Linked DNA regions of Saccharomyces cerevisiae S288C. Changing the gene in region 1 together with any one later gene gives a genetic interaction. Each region holds a gene or a part of one and is shown in the gene's direction. Other genes may lie near its edges.

What was found.
Region 2: mutations in YLR036C (region 1) and PHO91 together harm fitness more than expected from each alone (negative genetic interaction), as found in Saccharomyces cerevisiae (one large-scale study listed by BioGRID).
Region 3: mutations in YLR036C (region 1) and GRH1 together harm fitness more than expected from each alone (negative genetic interaction), as found in Saccharomyces cerevisiae (one large-scale study listed by BioGRID).
Region 4: mutations in YLR036C (region 1) and DML1 together harm fitness more than expected from each alone (negative genetic interaction), as found in Saccharomyces cerevisiae (one large-scale study listed by BioGRID).

Annotation. Positions count from the first base shown.
Region 1 is NC_001144.5:220,967-223,867, reverse strand, and holds YLR036C (uncharacterized protein), read left to right. Parts: upstream 1-1,735; coding exon 1,736-2,347; downstream 2,348-2,901. Other genes in the region: seripauperin PAU23, read left to right, coding at 809-1,183.
Region 2 is NC_001146.8:648,457-653,458, reverse strand, and holds PHO91 (Pho91p), read left to right. Parts: upstream 1-1,746; coding exon 1,747-4,431; downstream 4,432-5,002. Other genes in the region: SMM1 (tRNA-dihydrouridine(20) synthase (NAD(+))), read right to left, coding at 1-72; YNR014W (uncharacterized protein), read right to left, coding at 356-994; uridine kinase URK1, read right to left, coding at 4,522-5,002. UniProt on the Saccharomyces cerevisiae protein: Vacuolar phosphate transporter that probably exports phosphate from the vacuolar lumen to the cytosol.
Region 3 is NC_001136.10:1,475,592-1,478,895, forward strand, and holds GRH1 (Grh1p), read left to right. Parts: upstream 1-1,647; coding exon 1,648-2,766; downstream 2,767-3,304. Other genes in the region: EMI2 (putative glucokinase), read right to left, coding at 1-885; protein disulfide isomerase EUG1, read left to right, coding at 3,017-3,304. UniProt on the Saccharomyces cerevisiae protein: Involved in the spindle assembly checkpoint. Involved in ER to Golgi vesicle-mediated transport by either facilitating USO1-dependent and -independent tethering or increasing target accuracy of fusion events of COPII-coated vesicles.
Region 4 is NC_001145.3:687,513-691,042, forward strand, and holds DML1 (Dml1p), read left to right. Parts: upstream 1-1,570; coding exon 1,571-2,998; downstream 2,999-3,530. Other genes in the region: MGL2 (putative carboxylic ester hydrolase), read left to right, coding at 4-1,353; EFR3 (Efr3p), read right to left, coding at 3,183-3,530.

The DNA of each region.
Region 1 (2,901 bases):
TAGCTAAGTGGATATCACTAGATTAAAAAACACTCTCGAGCTACCCTATGAAGACAAGATTCATCCATAAACTCCCTAAGTGGGTATCCATTAGATGCCAACTACTTCACTCATGCAATACATACAGCAATTGCAAGACTTGTGATTTTAATCCAAAAGAAACTTCCCTGGGTGTCATGAACCCAATCAATGGCCGTAACTCTTCGTATGGTCAGTTTATAACTCTCAATCACGTTTCCTCGCTCATACCCTAACAGGTACGACTCCTCTGATCATATAGAGGGATTTTAATGTTTCTGATTTGGGAAACATTCAATTTTTCTCCTGACAACCGTTTAGTGTCAAACATTGGATATTGCCCTCGTTCAGAGGGCACAGAATAAAATTTGATTTCTGGTTCATTTTCTTGGCCAAAGATTAATTGAAGTTGTCAAGGCATGCCAAAACTTCCTTTAAAGGTATCATCCCTGTACCGAACATTCCTGTGCTCCTGTATATATCATAATAAGATATAGGTAGTACAAAGGCGCGGATCCGTATACGAGATCTATAAAAAAAGCATTGTTGAAGAAAGGGCAACTGCATATTTGTAGTGGTGAAGAGTATGGGATAGGGGAGCCCAAGTAAGAGAAATATCAGCAGTGAAATAGCTATTCAACAATTTATCTGTTCGTCCGTCGCTTATTAAAAAACGGCATATAAATAGAGCAGCTTTGATTAACTCTTTCCGACAATTTGGCATTGTTATTTACATTCGAGTGAGCTCACATCTTCACTAAAAAGATCTACAAAAGTTCAATCGAAAAAAATGGTCAAACTAACTTCAATTGTTGCTGGTGTCGCTGCTATTGCTGCTGGTGTCGCTGCTGCCCCAGCCACCACTACTTTATCTCCCTCTGACGAAAGAGTTAACCTGGTCGAATTAGGTGTCTACGTCTCAGATATCAGAGCTCATTTGGCTGAATACTATATGTTCCAAGCTGCTCATCCAACTGAAACTTACCCAGTTGAAATTGCTGAAGCTGTTTTCAACTACGGTGATTTCACCACTATGTTGACTGGTATTCCCGCTGATCAAGTCACTAGAGTCATCACTGGTGTCCCATGGTACTCCACCAGATTGAGACCAGCTATCTCCAGCGCTCTATCCAAGGACGGTATCTACACTGCTGTTCCAAACTAAGCCGATGGCCTCACAATTGGTATTTAGCACTGGATTGCTTTACGAACGGATAAAAATAATTATGATTTGACGGTAAGAAATAATTAGATATACATACGTATACAAACATATATATGTATTACAGGTACTTTTAATCAGTTGCACTGTGTTCAAAAAGATATTTTTTAAATGCGGGGGGAGATTCAAGTTTTGTTCTCGCATTTAAATTTCTGCATACAATTTGTACTTACAAGAACCTTATACGATTCCAGTTGAGACACGTACTGATATATTAATGATCATATTAAGAATCTTAATGCTTAAAACTTCTCTTCAATTCAGCATTTGATCTGTGGCAAGTTAATCTTGTTCCATTTAACGTGGATTTGACTTGCCATGATCTTCCCATAAAGCGGTAAATAGCCTTTTTGGTAAAAAATTGAAAGTTTAAAAGTACGGAACAAACTTTCGAGTTTTTCCTCAAAGGCCCTTCACAACACACGAGAACTAAAAGGTAGTTAAGACAGGAACTTGCCGTTAAAGTTTACTTTCTCCTTCAAAGTATAGGAAATAATGAAAGAGGCAGAACTTAGTGCGACAGAAAGCCAAGATGAGATCCCAAAGTCTAATTCCTTATTAATTATAGAAAAATTAACAAAGGCCGTTTGTAGCCTTTATTTTATAAATTGTTTTATGGTGCCATCAGTAGATAATTTGATTGAAAAGTACCCAAAAGCAATCATCATTAAGATCATAGATATGATTCTGGGGGCGGTAACAATTTCCCTCGTTATTATAGTTTTCTTTTTATATCGAAAGAACGGTCATTTTAAAAATGAAAATAAAACAAAGCCAAAGAGATGTTCGAAGGTAGTATGTCCCAGCTGTGCTGCCAGAAAAAAGTATCCTAAATGGTTTCAGCTAAAGTATTTGTTATTGGTATCAATGACTGCTTTCAGCTTCTACTTTTGTACCAAAATTAGGTTTTTTTTTAAAACTGACCAAACTATTAATTTACACCGACTATCACAGCTATTTAGATTGCAGCTAGGCTGGATATGTACTACTGCATTATTATTCTATTTTTACGATGCGTTGATATTACATAGCGGGTTCATTGAAGGGTATAGATGTGTCAATGGAAAGGGAGCGATGTCTGAAGGTAAAACCGGGCAATTAAATTGAGGATTTTACCTAATATGTATTATTTTGGAATTAGCTTGAAATGTGAAGGTATCATTTTACTGTTGCATATTGGATAATTGGTAAAGTTACGCAAAGTATTCAATATCATCTTCTTGCATTACTCGACCATTGAGAATAATTTACTATATAGTTTGAATACGAGATTACACCTCGACAAAAGTAGTTCTATTATTTGCACGTAACAATTATCAGAAAATGGGTGAACTTCGTATTAATTGTTGGGATTTCGTTGTTGATATTAGGTATACAAAATATACTAGAAGTTCTCCTCAACAGTCTTGGAATTCACGAAAGGGAGTTGATAGTTCTGATAATAAAATCACTTTGTCTTCCTTTCTTTTATACTTTGTCATTCATTATTCTACTACATTATCAATTTGTTAGAATGAAACTCTAAAACATCATCTGTTTAGTAGTATTTGCGTTACTAGTCAATTATGATCGTTGACTCTTATTCTAACAGCTAGTAATATTACCCCCGTTACGTATGAAAGTGTTGGAATAAAAATCCACTATCGTCTATCAACTAATAG
Region 2 (5,002 bases), on another chromosome or scaffold:
CATCAGTCTCGTGGGCAGTTCGCCGGCTCTTACCATTGGAGCTAGAACCAGTTTTCCAGCATATGTAACCATGATCTCTGTGTGACTGCGCTATTTGGTGTGGCTTGGATGGATGAAATAGCAAAAGTTTTTCAAGACGGTTTTCATTTTTTCTTCGAGCGAAGTGATGAGCAAAGTAGAGGAAATGGAAAGCGGCAAAAAATGCATTGTCGATTTTAGTAATGAATATATAAAACGACGGAAATATATATATACATGGCTGCGTAGACCACGCAGAACTGTATATGTATGTATGTATAGAGGAGGGATGGGAAATGCTGTGTGACGATAGACAGATGGATGGACGAATGGATAACTACGTCTCTAGTCTCTCATACAATGGTTTGTCAAACTTGACGGCGACCGAGTTTCTTCTGTGGTGATGTCTGTTGCAAGGACAAGACGGGTCTGAGTGGTCGTTAGGAGACGCGGATGTTTGCGGCTCCTGTTGGTCACTGATGGGGAACATCATGCTATGCTGGGCGTACGAGACGGACCTTTTCATCTCGGACGACGAGCGATTATCGAAGGAGGGCAGTTGTGGCTCACTGGCCCTTCTTTGAAAGTTTTTGTGATGCGCGCATTGGTGGAAGTCGCTTGCCGGCAATACAGAGTTGCGCCTAGAAGAGGGCAGTAGTGACGGCGAGGTTGGGTCAGAAGTCAAGCACGAGGCTGCGGTGTAGTTACTCTTGAACAATGAGGGCCGCGTAGGGTCTGCTACAACGGGAGCGGAAACATTAAGTACAGTCTCGACGATTTCATTGTCAGTTGATAAAGCAGGCGGTAAGCCGACGGAGCTGCCTCTGGGGGAGCAGGCTTTAGATGTAGCAGAGGAGCAGGAGCTGCTGCTGCTGCTCCTGCTGCTGCTTCTGTCCGCGATCGACTTGTAGTGGAAGGTGATGTGAGCGGAAACAGGGATGTTCACGGCACAAGGCTTGATATCCGTGGACGACATGGAACGTTTATTAGTTATATTTTTCGAGAAAAAATCTGAAACTTGCAGATCATTAGTTTACGCTTCGGATGTACACACACATACCTATATACATATATACATACACATATATATACATTTGTGTGCTCGTATGCGTACTGTTTTGCACTGGGCTGATTCGAGAAAGTCAAAAAGCTTAACTGGCCAGAAAAAGAAATTAAAACGGCACCGAGGGGTCGAAACCTTCCGTTTCTGCGAAGGCCCTTTGTTCTTTTGCTTTTGATCCGAAATGAGGGGCGGCGAGAGGTAAGGGGTAGAGGGGCTGGAACTCTCGCTGATGTTCTGAGCGAGGTGTTCAGGTGGGCCTATCCGCCTTAATCACTCCGGCGTGGGGAAAGAAAGCAGAGAGCGAGCAGAGAGCGAGCAGAGAGTGGGTGATGTCAGAGAACGATAATCCTGATGGGGGGTGGAACTTTATTACCCTACTTGAATTTTTTTATTTTGGTAGGGTAACTTTTATTCCCTTGAAAAAAATACTTCTGGTTACCCGGATCCGTTTTTTTTCGGGGATCCACGTGATGGCTTTTTGATCAGGACTAATTTTAAAACTGAAAAAAAAAAAAAAAAATTGAGTATGTCTTGCATGTATGAAAATTGATAAGTAACTAGGAAAAATGCCGCTCAAAATCTTAGTAAAAATAACTTCTTTTCTTTTTTTACTTAGTCAAATAAAAAGAAAACTGTGAAGGTGACACGGTAACTTGCAGACTGACATGAAGTTCTCGCATTCCTTACAATTCAATTCTGTACCAGAATGGTCTACCAAGTATCTGGCCTATTCGCAGCTGAAAAAATTGATCTATTCTTTGCAAAAAGATAAGCTGTACAGTAACAATAAGCACCATGTTGTGGAGCCACATGACGCCAACGATGAAAATCTGCCGCTATTGGCAGATGCTTCTCCAGATGATCAATTCTACATCTCTAAATTTGTTGCTGCCTTAAACCAAGAATTGAAAAAAATTGATAAATTCTACATATCTCAAGAAACAGGTCTTATCGCCAACTACAACGAATTGAAGGACGATGTCATGGAACTGGAAAACACGAACAAGGCCACCCAATTGTTTAATCAGCAGCAACAGCATCAACTGCAAAGTGTTGCAAGAAACAGGAAGTCTAAGTCACAACAACGCCAAAGAAGGTTTAGTAGTGTCTCCTCCACGGACTCCAACCCCTCTCTGACAGACATGTCGATTGACTCTGCACCCGTCATCCACACGCAGGTCTCGAACACGACTAATAATGGTAACTCAATGCAAAACCTGGCCTCCGCTTCAGTGTCGCTTTCTAACTCTAACCCTGTGTATCTTTCTCCTTTTACCCAACATAGGCTCTCTTTAAAGAAAAGATTGATATCGATCTACACCCAGTTGTCCGAGTTGAAGGACTTTATTGAGTTGAACCAGACCGGGTTCTCCAAGATCTGCAAGAAATTTGACAAGTCCTTAAATACGAACTTGAAGCAGAACTACTTGAACTATATCAAATTCCATTCGCATGTTTTCAATCCTGCTACAATAAATAGGATTCAGCATCACATTACCGAGACCATCCTCACTTACGCTAGCTTGAACAAGGGCACGCGTCGACCATCTAATACGTTTAACTTGGACGCTGACCGAATCAACAATGACGAAAACAGCAGCGGTAATGAAGAAGACGAAGATGGCAACAGACAAGAAGTCCTCGATTTCCAGGATGCTGAGCGTGAATTATCCTCTCATTTGAGAGATCACGTAGTTTGGGAAAGAAACACCGTTTGGAAAGATATGATGAATTTGGAGAGAAAGTACCAATCTGCCAAGACTGACAACAAGAAGTTTTCAAAGTTGAGTTCCAGTCAATTGCGCCCCAATGCCAACATTACTGAATCCATGGCAATGTCGAGTGGTGGCGCCGGTATCATCGCTCCATCAACGGATTCCCTAACTTTCCGTGAACTCATGCATTTACCACCCAAGCAATGGTTGCAATTTATCATGGGCCAAACTTCCCTGCTGAAGTTTCTGTTAATCACCTCATGTTTCATTGCATTATTAACTTTTAATTTGACTCCTTTTACGCAGGATTCCTTACAGAAAAACTGTTTCGCCATCTTAATATATGCATCTTTATTATGGGCCACTGAGACCATCCCCCTTTTCGTGACTTCTCTAATGATTCCTCTGCTTATTGTAGTGTTCCCTGTTATCAAGGACCCTATCACCTCCCAACCAATGTCTCCCCGTGATTCCTCTCAGTTCATCTTATCAACGATGTGGTCGAGTGTCATCATGCTTTTGCTGGGTGGGTTTACTTTAGCAGCCGCCCTTTCCAAGTACAACATTGCCAAAGTCCTTTCTACGCATATTTTGGCATCCGCCGGTACAAACCCACATTTTATTCTTTTAACAAATATGTTTGTGGCGCTCTTTGTTTCCATGTGGGTTTCTAATGTTGCTGCCCCCGTTCTTTGCTATTCAATTGTTCAACCTTTGCTCAGAACACTGCCAAGAAATTGTTCCTATGCCAAAGCTCTAATTCTTGGTATCGCTCTTGCCTCCAATATCGGTGGTATGTCTTCTCCCATCGCTTCTCCTCAAAACATTTTTTCTATTGGTATAATGGACCCTTCACCATCTTGGGCTGAATGGTTTATGATTGCGCTACCTGTGTGCTTTATTTGTGTCATGGCAATTTGGGTGCTATTGATCATAACCTTCCCTCCTGAGCCAAATGTGAAAATTTTGCAATTGCATCCATCCCGTGATCCATTCACTCTGAAGCAATGGTTTGTCACTTTAGTTTGCATTATAACAATTGTTCTTTGGTGTCTTTCAAACCAAATCTCCGGTATCTTTGGTGAAATGGGAATCATATCTATTATACCTATAGTAGTCTTCTTCGGTACAGGTCTTCTAACTTCGGATGATTTCAATAATTTCATGTGGACAATCGTTGTTTTGGCCATGGGAGGTACCACCCTAGGTAAGGCGGTAAGCTCATCCGGTTTATTGTCTACAATGGCACAGTTAATTAAGGCGCAGGTTGAGCATGAACCAATCTTCATTATTGTGTTGATCTTCGGTCTAGTGATTCTTGTAATGGCCACTTTTGTCTCCCATACCGTCGCGGCAATGATCATCGTACCATTAATGAGTGAGATCGGTTCCAATCTACCTTCAGGTGATCATTCTAGACTATTGATCGTTATAGCCGCCCTATTATGCTCTAGTGCTATGGGTCTTCCAACCTCTGGTTTCCCCAACGTGACTGCCATTTCAATGATTGATGAAGTTGGTGATAGATATTTGACCGTGGGTACATTTATTACGAGAGGTGTACCAGCCAGTTTGTTAAGTTATGCCGCTATTGTTACAGTAGGTTATGGCATATTGAAAGTAATGGGATTTTAAGATTATCCATAGAGAGAATGAAAGGTTACTAATATAGTATGTATACGTGCACTATTATTTAATTTTACTTTATATTGCCTCTAATTATTCTCAATCACAACCAAAATACTTTGAATCAAAAAATCTGGTCAATGCCCATTTGTATTGATGATTTTGTAACTTTTCTCTGGAGATGATCATACCAGCAAAAATGTTGACTTTGTTATCAAATGCATTTAATATACGTCGGATACCAACTTCAGTGGCCAAATAAACCACCACGCTAATCTTTTCCAAATCAATACCATGATCTAAAAGCACCTGGATGGCCATGATCATGGCCGCACCACTTATGATTTGACCTTCCATTAAGAAAACCTTGCCAAACTTTTCTATATTTGGGGGTAAAAATTCGCAATGCAGTTGAGGTTCCCCAGTTTGTGAATCGGACTGAATCAACAATTTACCAATTGTGATATTGGGGATCGTCTTTCTCAAAGACTTCATAAAACAATCGCCAGATCGAATAATATTAACAGCTGTAACTTGATCGAATTGACAGGCAATAACGTTTTCCATGGTATGCTCACCA
Region 3 (3,304 bases), on another chromosome or scaffold:
ATTGTCGAAAGAACCCCATTCGATGTTGATGCACATTTGGGTTTTTCCTTCATGCAGCAGTCTTGTTCTGAGCTCATCTGGTAGCTTCTTGATGTTTTCAATATCCTCCATATAGCAACCGTTAGTACCAGTACCAAAGATACAACCAATGACAGGCTCGCTAATCTCACCAGCACTCGATGGACGAGAGCCTGAAGTGTAGCAGTGGGATAGGAAAGTGCCAACCGTGTCGTTGGTCAAAGCTACCACATTAATCATAGAGAGCCCCTGAATGTCTAATTGCTCCTGGTATAACCTCACGACATCCTTGCCGACCGTGTCTTCAATCTTGAAGCTTTTGGTCCATCTGATTAAAGTACCGGAACTCAAAGAGGTTTGGTCAACGGGATATGAGAAGGTAAATCCCATTTTCAAAGGTTTTATGTTCTCCCCCGTGGACTTCAACAACTCAGGATGATGCTTCCTAACGAAGGCCCTTGTACGGCGACCCAGGTAGCTAAACAGCTCCTCGCTGGTGACATCCTTGTCATTTAGATATTCTTCCGGAATCTTAGACTTCAATTGCTGCATATCAAAGGTTCCGTCACCATTCAAAGTCACAGAACACACTCTGAAGTGAGTCCCACCTAAATCTGCAGCCAGCAAAACACCACGTTCCGTCCCATTGGGCAAACTGGTTACATATGTAGGGATCATGGGTAGACCCTTGTCCACCGTCTTTTCTTCGCCTACAGAGGTGTTATTCAACCCCTTTTCCATACATTCAATGAAGTACGCTGTTAGTTCGTCCAACTTTGCTGCATCAACCTGCAATGAGGAGCAGATCTCAACCACTGCATCTTCCAATGCCTCAGCATTGACTTTATGTAAATTTTCAAATGACATTACTGTGTATCTATGATTCGATTCTTGTACAATTCTTCCTTGATACACTGATATCTGTTTCTATTTAAACTTCCTATAAGTATGAGACGTACAAAAGAACACGAGACAAGATGAGATTTTACACTTACACAGAATCGACTTTATATAATCCCGAATACATGTTTCCCCCCCCTGCATCGCAAGCATAATAGAATTCGACGACCCGATCTTCTTCCTCTGTCTTCCACACACACAAACACTAATTCACTCTCACTCTCTCACTTTCCCTTTCGACGACACACACAAAAAGACTTTCTGGATGCCCCGCGTTTTTTGTCACTTGATTCTTCGAACAAAGACGCAGGCAACTACCCCTGAAGGGCCCACCCGAAAGTAGTTGCTACTGCTCGTTGCGGTGGCTGCCAGAGTGGCGACGTAGCGTTGCGTTGTGGCTAACATTGGTGAGACAACCCGATTAAATTACTTAATGGGCTCTCCCACCGCCTTTGCACCCAGTGACAGCCATTTTGAAGATAGCATCGGGCTGGCTTCCAAATAAAATCTAGGTCGTTTCTATTAAGTTCGTTTCGTTATTTTTCTGTCTTCGCGGCGGACACGCAAGCCGACGACGACGAGGTTTAGTTGCATTTTGGCTATCATAAAAGAAATGGGCTTGTCGCAACGGGATCAGGACCAAGAACAGGGGTGCTGAGACTACTACTGTAACTGCGACCGACACAGCGTGCGAAACTAGGGAAGTAAAAAGGTATAGGAAGAAGAACTATGTTTAGAATAGCTAAAAACCTCGTACGGACTTTTGAGCAGAGCGTGCAAGATACCCTGGCACTCTCGCAGGACTCGAGCAATCTGGACGCTTTCTTTCAGTCTATACCACCAAATTTGTTGTCTGCTCAGTTGGAATCACCCGTAGATGCGGTTTCTGAAGGTGTTAAGCACACCAACGTCAATGAAACGCTTTCCGGTCTCCGCATTGTTTGGGTGGACGAGATGCAGTTCCAACTGCAGTCCTTTTTCGACTATATAGTAGGTTTCAATGATGATCCGGTGCCGGTGGTCAGTAATCAACACGGATTTTCGTACCCAGATTACCGTCGTATCACATCCATCTTCAATGAACACTGTGGCCGAACTTTGAAGGTCAACATATGGTCAGCTAAAGGAGGCACGTTCAGAGACGAGTATATCAGCATTATATCGAAGGAGAGCGACGATTTGGACGATGTTTCTCTAAACCATGACGAGAGGAGGCCATCTAGTGGGGAAGCGCACCAGTTCCAAGCACTCGGGTTCAAAGTCCAATGGACGCCTTTGATAGCTTCCACTTTCACATACCATATCCTGAACGTGAACATCCCAGATGGACCCGCCCAATCGGCAGGGCTCATCCCAGATGAAGACTACATTATCGGCTGCCAAGATGGCCTGTTGGCCACGGGAGGGGAGACGCTTTTACAAGATATTGTTAGATCAAGAGCAAACTACGATCTGGTCCTTTATGTCTACAACAAAGTTTCTGACTGTGTGAGACCAATCACAGTTCATATAGGTCCCGACGGCAGGTTGGGTTGCAACGTTGGATACGGGTTTCTTCACAGGATTCCAACAGTAAAGCACTGTCCACAACAAGCACAGCAGCAGGGGCAAGATGACAACCCTGTTCCTGTTCCTGTTCCAGTAGAATCTGAGACGGCTTTTGTGCCATCAGCATTCACAGCACCACCGGTGCCAACAAAGAAGAAATCAAAAAATAAAAAGGGTACCCAGCCATTGGCAATGGATGACTATTTTAATGAAGGCAGAGATAAGTCATCTACCGCTGCGAAGTCAGCAGAATCTGACATCCTCGCCCCACCACCACAAAAACAGTCATCCTCTGATTAACTTTCCTGGTTAGTCTTTTGGTTTTGTTTCATAGCAAAATTAAATATATATATATAAGCTTGCTTTCCCTTCAAAACACGTAAACGATAGTTGGCAATGTACGAAAAGTACCGAGACTTTTTTTCAAAGGCACGCGTGTCCTTTTTTGTTAAGACAATAGATATTTTAGCATTCAGAAAGTTTCAATTTCCAAGACTTGACGTTTCAATTATATGGCAATCTCCCAACAAGCACCCGCTCATATAATACCATGCAAGTGACCACAAGATTTATATCTGCGATAGTCTCGTTTTGCCTGTTTGCTTCTTTCACGTTGGCTGAAAACAGCGCAAGAGCTACGCCGGGATCAGATTTACTCGTTCTAACAGAGAAGAAATTTAAATCATTCATCGAATCTCATCCGTTAGTCCTCGTCGAGTTTTTTGCTCCATGGTGTTTGCATTCTCAGATCTTACGCCCTCACTTAGAAGAGGCCGCCTCTATTTTAAAGGAGCATAACGTCCCAGTTGTTCAAATTGATTGTGAGGCTAACAGTATG
Region 4 (3,530 bases), on another chromosome or scaffold:
GATATGCGTCTAAAAGAATTGTTACCTAATTTTTTGATTGTTCATCAAGAGGTCCCTGAGGATCCTATTGCATTCAAGTCCACCGATAAACGAGAGAATGAAAATAAAGAGATCACCATCCCTGAGCTAATAGATACTAAAGTTCCTGAATTAGCTGACGGTGCTACTGACACTTTATATGGTTTACTGGTCAATGGCCATTTACAAACTGCATATGGTTCCTTTAGACACTTTGACAATATATACAAAGTTCAATATAAAAGAATGATAATCAAATACCCACATGGGGGAGAAGGGACTGTGGATTTTGCTGTAAATGGTAGAAGTACCAAAAGAAGAAAAGTGGAAAAAGAATACGTGCCGACAAGTCAACCGGTATTTAACGGAAACTTGAAACGAAGATATTCGTACTATTCCCCTGATGATCCTAAATTGAACTCAGACGATGCTAAGCCTATGCTTATTATTCTCCATGGATTAACAGGGGGTTCGAGGGAAAGCTACGTGAGGGCAATTGTTCATGAAATCACCACGAAGTATGACTTTGAAGCATGCGTGTTTAATGCTAGAGGATGTTGTTATTCTGCAATTACAACGCCGCTATTATACAACGGTGGTTGGACCAATGATATAAGATATTGTGTTAATGACTTGAGGAAAAGATTTCCGAATAGAAAGTTTTATATGATGGGATTTTCGTTAGGCGCATCTATAATGACAAATTACTTGGGAGAAGAGTCAGATCGTACTAAAATCGAATGTGCTATTTCCGTGAGTAATCCATTTGACCTGTACAACTCTGCATATTTTATTAACAGTACACCAATGGGGTCACGATTTTATTCACCTGCTTTGGGTCACAACTTACTACGCATGGTTCGAAACCATCTCTCTACTCTGGAAGAAAACCCTGATTTCAAAGATGTTATCGAGAAGCATTTAAAAAAGATTCGCACTGTGAGGCAATTTGATAACTTGTTGACAGGCCCAATGTTTGGATATAAAAATGCAGAGGAGTATTACAAGAATGCTTCATCATATAAAAGAATACCCGGGATCAGAACTCCTTTTATAGCTTTGCATGCTCAGGATGACCCAATTGTCGGAGGTGATCTTCCTATAGACCAAATAAAATCCAATCCATACACTTTGCTTCTAGAAACTTCGACGGGGGGGCATGTTGGATGGTTCAAAGACAGATCCGGCAGAAGGTGGTACGCAGAACCCTTATGCAGATTTTTGAAAATATTTCACGACGAAATTACTGTAAAGGGCTTAAAACCTGACTTGGAAAATGTTCAACTCCCAGATCCTAATTGCGAACCCATAGCCACAACCTTTCGCGCGAATTAGTTTGTAAATAAGTCAACTTTTTAGATGTGTAACCTGATAATTTTTTTTTTTGATGTTCGACATCATTATTTCTGAATGAAAACGTGAAAAGCTTCGCCAAACTTAAAATGGAAAATTTCGAATGGAACAAAATATAATCGATGCGATGAATTAAAACCTTGGAAGAAGAGGGTTAATTGTTAAAATTACATATATAATTGGCAGACAAGAATAAAAAATGCATGAAGTAGTAACGATATCGGTTTCGCAGAGAGCAAACCATTTGACTACTCAATTCTTCAATATACAAGAGGGCTATTTACAATTGTCTAAAGAACAACAAGTCAATGACTCCAAAATTTTTCTGAATTCGGTTGTAGATAAAGTTTCAAAAACAATTTCATATGCACCACGTGCCTTACTTTGGGATGCCCGTACAGGTAATGGTTCACTAGGAACATATCAATATTCAGAAAGCCAAGACTATCATTTCGGCAATGAAGACAAATTCAAGGAGCAAACAGTTATAAAGACTCATCCAAGAATACCTAAATCCGAATATCAGAGTTCTCTAGATGCAGGAGCACCGCTGCCTTGTTTGAACAGAGAAAATACGATGTATTGGTCTGACTATTCTAAACTTATCTATGGTCCTTCAAGTTTCAATATTTTGAGAAATTGGTACCATGACACTGAAAATCCAAACCAACCTGACTTTCAAAACTTGGGGGAGCGAAAGTTTGACAGGTATTCCATTGGTTATGACGAATTTACCGAAAATTACTTGCAAGAGTTTTTTGATGGAAATTTGCATAGAGAATTGGAAAAATGTGACACCCTGCAAGGCTTCAATCTTGTAAGTGATATGGAGAGTGGATGGGGCGGGTTTTCTAGTGCTCTACTGGTGGAATTAAGGAATGAATTACCTAAAAAGGCGGTCTTTTCATGGGGACACAATGAAGATGATCCATTCACAGATGACTTCCCTATGAAAAGACTTTCAAAGAAATGGCTCCCGATCATTTCGAACAAATTAAGAAGCACAATAAATATGATGCAAGAATCCGATCTTTACTTCCCATTGTATGCTGCTCCTGGACTAACTAATTGGGAAACTGCTGGAAAGAGCTGTAGGATATTTGATTCTATAAATGCGACAATTTCCCAAAGCAATCTTGAACAAAGAAAGACAATGGATTATCTAACAACTGCCATTACCTTAGGATATTCGTCGCGAAATATGGTCACTGGCATGGTTATCGGTGACACCGATTACTCATTCTGTTCTCGAGTACTTCCTTTCAAGAATAGCCACAAACCAAATTCTACTCACATATTTTCAAAAAGTTTCATTGATAGAGGAAATCAAACGCATAAACATCATTCCGAACCTGATTCACGGAGTAAGATGATTGAAATGTATACACACAGGTATTTTCCATCTGATACGATACCGACAGAATTTTCCAATGATCGTGAATTTGTTTTGGAATTAGAATCATCTGAAAAAAATCGAGATATATTCAAACATTGGAATGAGTTTGTGGTAAGGTACTTCAAAAATGATAGTGACAGAGAAGAATTGAAAAATGAACTTTCCGATTACGCCTCAGCGTACGAATCTGGGTGGTATGAAGACGAAGATTCTGGTGATGACGATATGTGATAAGCAGTTTGCAGCTACGTATTTCCTTTCTCCAGTTGAGGCAAACAGGACTTCTTCCATCTTTTTCGAAGTTTTTACTTCGCCATTTGATCTATATCTACGTAAATTACATTAATTAGAAAGTCATGCTATATCACTCTTGCCCTTGAAAGCATCCACAGCTGTCCGTCAAAAACTTAATTTCTCAAGTGGAGGAGAAAATTTTACCTCTTGAACTTAAAGAATGTAAATCTTCATTTGCGTCTTTAAAGTCATCGTTTTGATTTTCACCAGTTGCTGTTTTTTGCAAAAAGGATTTTCTATTTCCAATGCTACTGCGATCAGAAAGACTAGATATTGGTGCAAGTCGCAGAGAATTTGATCTAGCAACGTCGATTTTATCCAAGCCAACAATATTCTCCTCATCAGGATCTTTGATTTTATTCGCGTCATCTGAAAAAGTTTTCAATTCATTTAATAAAAATGTGATATTAGTGACACGAGATTTCACTGATTGAGAACCCCGAAAAGAGCCATCTCTTTTCATATTATT